2 linked regions of the Macaca mulatta genome follow. The protein of the gene in region 2 purifies or fractionates together with the protein of the main gene of each other region. This does not show direct contact. Links are inferred from orthologs where the notes say so. Each region holds a gene or a part of one and is shown on either strand. Other genes may lie near its edges.

Region 1 (3,035 bases), on a different chromosome or scaffold from region 2:
CCAAGTTCTTGGCCAAGCCTCTGGTTCGAATGGTGGGTTGTGGATGAGGTCGGGGAGGATGTCAGAGGAGGCGCTGGCACTGACGTGGCTGCCCAGGGGTAAGCCCAGAAGCTATGGGAGTCTGGAGAGGGTGAGAGGAAGAGGTGCAGGGCTGAGTGTGACAGCACCACCCCTTATCCGCTCTAGCTCTGTCCATCCAGATGTGAGCTCTGGGGCAGGGGCTTACCTCCTCTAGGCTTCCTTTTCCTCAACTGTGAAATGGGGTGACAGTGGAAAGACCTCAGAGTTACTGTGAAGGTATTTAGTTTTAACCCCCAGTAACAGCCTGAAGAATGGCTCCTGCCTTAAAGAGAGAGAACAGGATGGCTTTTTACTAAAATGTGCCAGGATAGGGCACATCTCTACCCTATCTACCCTTCCAGATACTGCCTCTACCATACCCAGTCCTCAGATAGATGCTGCTCTCCTCTTTGAGAAACAGAATTAAGGCACAGAGAGGCAGAACCTGCCCATTACTATCACTTGTGCATTCATTCATTCAACAGACATTTATTAAGCATCTATAATGTGCCAGGCCCTGGGGACACAGAGCTGGAGAATGTACAGTCCCTGCCCTCAAGGAGCTCACAGTCTGGGGGACAGACATGTAAACACATGAGTTACAACGCGCTGCGTGAAGTGTGTGGCAGAGGTATAACAAAGTGCTGTGGGGCACAACAGAGCGACCAATGAACTCTTCCTGGGCAGGGGTCAGGGAAGCCTTCAGTCAATAAATACAGTGCCATGGGAGTGCCTTGTGCACCACGGGCACTCACATCTCAAATGCTGGTCCACTGGAGGCCCTTGGGCTGGGCGGGAGCAAGGCCTACTTCTGCTTCCTCAAGACAACTTCCCCACCTCTGTCCTGGGACCACCTGCCCGCCTGGGCCTGCAGTGACTGAGGACACTGCTCCCACTCCAGGGGCCAGTGACAGAGAGCAGCTATACAGAGGGCCCACCCCGTGGGATCCTTGACAGGAGCTGAGACAGAACAAACTGCTGCGTGTCTCCCTACCCTGGGGGTTGTGATATTCCTGGTAACATCTCTGAGCTGGTCTGTGAGGTCACTTCCTCTCTTAACACTGTTGAGGAGACTCCAAACCCTCTGTCTTTTGCTTGTCTTCTCATGTCGATTGGGCACCGGCCATTCTCAGGCACCAGGGCACAGCCCACACGGGTGCCCCATCAGACAGGGCTGCCCACAGCAGCCTCCTACACCTGAACTGGGTTTCTCTGCACACTCACAGCCGTCTCACCAGCTCAATGAGCTGCTGGATGTTTTTGTTTTGGTTCGACAGGCCGTTCCTGATGTTTTCGAGTAGGCATCTCTTCAATTCAAATATGGCTTCACTGTAGGCCAAGCTCACTGCGGCCATGGGAGGTGCTCCGTGCCACAGGCCAGGGATGTGCCAGATGTGCTGCTTCTCAGGGTCACAGAAGGCCAGGCCTGCCAGTGCCCGGAAGCCGTCGCTCTGTTTCTCCATCTGGGCTGCAGCCCTGCTCAGGTCACCAGGTGGATCTAGGAGCTGTCTCTTGTCTCTTGGCCTGGGGCCGGGAACAGATACATCATGAAGGTTCTGGTATACAAACTGGTAGTTGGGCATGTGCCCCGTTTTTTCTAACCTCAGAAATGCATGCAGAATAGCTGCTGGAATGTCCTTGGTTTCAGCTAGGCTGATCACGGTGACATTGCTCAGTCCCATGAGCAGAGTGGCCAAGGAAGCCTCCAGCTCAAACCTGTCCCCAGCTGAGGTCAAGGCCCCACCTATCAAGCCCCCAGAGTCTATCACCAGGATGTGGTCACAGCCCAGGTCCTGGCTGAAGCCCTCGGCCACTGTGATGAGCTGCATGAAGGCCCCTCGAGGACTGCAGCTCTTCCCTGTGGCAAACCGCAGCCCAAACATGGTGTTGAGGAGTGTGGACTTGCCCGTGCCCGGCACCCCGAGGGCTGACAGAACCACCAGCCTTGACCGTCTCTCCAGTCGGACGTGCAGCTCCTTCAGGAGCCCCGTGACCCAGCGGACGGGCATGCTCAGGGTGCTCCCATCGATTAGCTCCAGAGGCAGCCCTGTCAGCAGCAGCTCCGAGGCCAAGCCTGGGAAGTGGGCAAAACGCCTCTGGCCTGCTGGCAGCCTCCCCGCCTCCACAAGACAGCTCTCGGCCTCATAAAACTGTCCCATCTCCCGCAGGAAGTGTTCCACCCCCAGGGGCTCAGGCCAGAGCAGCTCCCCCAAGTCTGTGGCGCCCCCATGCTTTGGTCTCAGGGTGAGAAGTGTCTCCGGAGGCTGTCTCAGTCGTGGCTGGGCCACCCGTGCCAGGCCCCACTCCATCCACCTCAGGAAGTACTGCTTCTCACTCAAGGAGGGGCTGCTGATCCCCGAGATGAACTCCTGCACCCCCGAGGAGGGATCGTGGCTGTTCTGCTGCATTCGAAGTTCTAGCAGCCGCCGCCTCAGCTCAGCCCTGTGCTTCTCAGGGGGGTCCACGGCCCACTGGAGCTGGCAGAACTCCTTCTCCACTTGGGCTGCCTTTCTCCAGGGGTCCCCCTGCAGCCTCAGCTCATCCCTTCTGTAGGCATCCGAGTCTTTGATTTTCCTGGTAATCCTCTCCATCCGGTCTTTCGCTTTCTGACACTCCTCACAGTCCTCGTCAACCTTTAGGCCAAGCTTGCGGGCTGCGTGCGCCATGTCCTCCACAGATACCCGCCTGCAGGGTGCCCGCAGCACATTCCCAACAATGGCCCGGATCCTCTTCACGAAGCTGTCGCTGTCAGTGCTGCTGACCTTCACCAGGACATGTGAGTGGTCTATTTTCAGCACAGGAATTAACTTATTCAGAAATCTCAGGTTTGTGTTGCGCTTCCCACGGTACGGACTCAGGATGAAGTAGTATTTTGTGGTTGACTCCTTCATGGAGTACAGCAATTTGTATTCCTTCTTACTGATATTGTCAGTCAATATAAACACAGCGGAGGAGATTTCTGTCAAGAGCTTAAA
Region 2 (3,824 bases):
ACACTGACAATTCCCATGGATATTGCACTAGACTCCCCAGGAGTACGAACAGAACTATCGGGGCCTAACTTCCTTTCAGCATTTTCACTTCCCGTCTCCGCTGTTAAGGTGCTGGTGCTTGCACTGGAAGACGACCCTACTTCTGTTTGAGGGACGTTTTCAGCAGATGAAAGAACAACAATTGGTTCATGGACATCAGCTCCTGAAACTATACTGTGTTCCATTACAATTTCTGATCTCCGTTCCGTTTTGGTCGAACCCAAGCTGATGTCGCTGCTACTGGCCACGCTACACACAGAACTGCTGCTTCCTTTTCTACTTGAGGAGCCTGCAGCAGCAGATGTCTTGTCTGGACAGTTGTTTTTCACCAAGCTGCTCCATGATTGCGTTGTGCCTGAAACAGTGGATGAAACAGGTTTGGGTGATGCCACTGTATCAGGGTCGTACCCTGGTGCAAGCTTGAGGTCAAATTTTCCTTCTGCGCCCATACGGTAAGAGTTTGAGCCACCAGCATCCCAGGTGACATCAATCCAGCCTGGAAAGGGACAGGAGTTTGTGAGACCCAGCAGAAAGCAGATAGGAGCGTGTCAGACAGTAGCTCCACAATATGGGATCAGCTTTTCATCAGTGCTGTCCTTTTCTGAATTTCTAGTCAATCAAGGTCTGCCAACTAAAATATATGTAAATTTTTGGACTCAATTATTTGACTATATGACTAGTTATCTGAAAGTCTATAATATTTAACTCTCATGATAAAAATATTTTAAGGACAAGAAATATGTACTGTATACAAGGGTTTCCAGGAAATGTTTAAAATTCTTCCTTTTATTTCCCTTATTTCTGAACTATTCAGTCTATGACATTTAAAAGCAATGTAAAGGTCATGTTTAAATCTACTGGGTTGTTTTTCATTTTTAAAATTATTTGATTTTTAGAGATGAGGTCTTGCGTTGCCCATGCTAATCTTGAACTCCTGGGCTTAAATGATCCTCCCACCTCAGCCTCTTGAGTAGCTGGGATTACAGATGTGAGCCACTGCACCTGGCTTGGTTACTTCTTAAATGGAAGAACTGTTTAAGAAATTTTAAAAGATTGATATACGTGGTAAAATACTGCCACTTCTGCAAGTAAACACAATCTAGGTAAAAGTTTTTAAATTAATAAGTATAATTATGTGTAGTCAAATTTTCTGTCTAGAAAAACGTGCTAGCTTACCATTAATTTCTTACCATTAATTTTGGCTAACCTCTCAAAATATTCATATATTACCACAGAAATTTTAGGTCACTAGCTCAAATAAAATACTAAAGTTAGCATTTCGGTTGTGTTCTCAAAGTTCAGTGGTTCCTTGGTTCTCTTATGTTAAATAATTAAGTTCAATAAATTTGAATAAGCACAGAAAATTCTAAAAAAAAATTTAAAGAGCATACTGAGCTCTTTTATTAGAAACTATCTGCTAAAGCTACTAACATGTACAGAACTAATGAGCATAATGATATTCAATTTATATATTTACTTGTAGTTGAAAAATAATATTCTTTTTTTAAAAAGGTAATGAATCTCCAAAAGCAAAAAAAAAAAATGTCTATTAAAAGAAAATTAATATAAATTTTACAATCTTATTTTAGTGTTATAAGCTAACTATTTCAGGGAAAAACATAAGACACAAAAAACATTTTTTTAAAACTATAACAAGCCTTTATAAAGTTCTTACCCACACATAAAAGGGGCCCAAGTTCACATACACACCCATCCACACACCCAGATGCCCACCCACACATACACCAAGTTCATATGTTTATGCTGGCACTCAGAGGGAAATAATATTGAATTACCTGTGGGGATTATCTGCATATGTGTTCTTTGAAAGGAAAAGTGACTGCCCCAAATCTACATAAGTAGCTTAGATGAGATTTTTCAATTGCCTCTATTGTTTTCTGTATGCTGAAATAATCTCTGAAGAACCAACATTTAACTATCTCTTCTGCTACACAGAAATGTGTGAGAAAAGAAGAAGGTTCAAAAACACAGCCCAATCTCAAATAAAAGTAACTTTTGTATTGTATTAATTGGCCCAAAAAACATACTCTCTCAACTCCTTCTATGCCCAAAAGATAGACAAAAAAAATAGAGTCAGTAACGACTAGCCATCATTAGAAATGGTTGGCTTAAGTATTTGAAAGCTAAGAACCCTCTCTGACATAGAGACTTAAAGGCATAACTTGATGGGAATGGCCATGTTGATTAGCCAAAACTAAATTTCTACATTTGTCAGATCAGCAAAAATAGGCCTTTCTTGAATGCTAAACCCTGAAATTTCTAGGCTACATGATTTCTGTTTTTCCCATCTGTGGCAGATAAAACAAAATAAAACAAAAAAAAACACTCAAAATATTCAGATTTACATGTGAGCACTCTGTCATAAGGAGATGCCATACCTCACAGTTCAAATGTATTTTATAGATCAGTAACATTATACTGAAATGTAATTGCAACTTACTATGCAGCAAAAATGAATCAAGAAGAAAAATAACCTACAGTGTCTATTTACCTTTGTATAGGCAATTGCTTAAGTTACTCTGCTTTTAACATTTGTACTTCAATAAAATGCTTATGTATGTATAGGAATATCACAGTGCAAGATGCTGCTAGTCCAGGCACAAAGTATTAAAATTATTTTGTGAAGATTGGTGGTTGTATTAAAACTGTTGTGCCATTGTATCTCGGGGGAAAAAACAATATTCTAATTTCCCTATGCAATTGCTTCAGTTGACTCCATCCCGAGAAAAAAGAACTGCATTCACACGCCTCTAACTAGCCTCTTCTTCTCAAGTCACATACATCAAGGCCAAAACAATTACAGGAAATAGAATAACAACTTTTTAATAAGTATCATCAAGATGCCCAAAAAACAAGAAAATTTGAAATTTCTGAGTTGAATGGTACTACTGATGTCTCAACTATTACTGGTATTTATGAATTTTAGGTCACTGTAAACCTGTATGATTAAAATGATTTGCAATTAGGGCCTGATACTACATCAAAACATCTGGCAGTAAAATAATCCAAGAAATAGAATCTTAAAAGCAATATAATCAAAGGGTTTATTTGAATAAATAAATGTCTTTACCACATAACACATGAAATTAAATGTCAGTCATTCTCCTAAGTACTTAAAAGCAATATAATCAAAGGGTTTATTTGAATAAATAAATGTCTTTACCACATAACACATGAAATTAAATGTCAGTCATTCTCCTAAGTACTTTCACATTTATTCTAGCTCTTTAAATATGTGGTGTAAGTTGCCGGGCGTGGTGGCTCATGCCTGTAATCCCAGCACTTTTGGGAGGCCGAGGCGGGTGGATCACCTGAGGTCAGGAGATCGAGACCAGCCTGACCAACAGGGAGAAACCCCATCTCTACTAAAAATACAAAATTAGCCGGGCATGGTGGCGCATGCTTGTAATCCTAGCTAGTTGGGAGACTGAGGCAAGAGAATCGCTTGAACCCGGGAGGCAGAGGTTGCAGTGAGCCGATATCACACCATTGCACTCCAGGGAACAAAAGCAAGACTCTCTCTCAAAAAAAAAAACAAAACAAAACAAAACAAAGCAAAACAAAAAACAAATGTGCTGTAAGTTGAGAATATAAACATTTTACTTTTTTTAATGCTAAAAACTGATACAAAATTGATGAAAACAAACCTACTGATGTTTAGGCAAATTATCTGCTAATAAATCAACCTTATAGTTTGAAGAAAACAATTTGCCACTATAATTGCTTTGAAGTTAATAGCAATAAGTGGATGACTTTGCTAAACT

What was found.
Region 1: the proteins of HECTD1 (region 2) and URGCP purify together in Homo sapiens (affinity purification with mass spectrometry; 4 studies listed by BioGRID and IntAct, with this or other methods). This does not show direct contact. The link is inferred for Macaca mulatta from reciprocal best matches to the Homo sapiens genes HECTD1 and URGCP.

What each region holds. Positions count from the first base shown.
Region 1 is NC_133408.1:84,482,205-84,485,239, reverse strand, and holds the end of URGCP (up-regulator of cell proliferation), read right to left. Parts: coding exon 1,281-3,035; 3' UTR 534-1,280; downstream 1-533. UniProt on the Homo sapiens protein: May be involved in cell cycle progression through the regulation of cyclin D1 expression. May participate in the development of hepatocellular carcinoma (HCC) by promoting hepatocellular growth and survival.
Region 2 is NC_133412.1:104,252,647-104,256,470, forward strand, and holds part of HECTD1 (E3 ubiquitin-protein ligase HECTD1), read right to left. Parts: intron 536-3,824; coding exon 1-535. UniProt on the Homo sapiens protein: E3 ubiquitin-protein ligase which accepts ubiquitin from an E2 ubiquitin-conjugating enzyme in the form of a thioester and then directly transfers the ubiquitin to targeted substrates.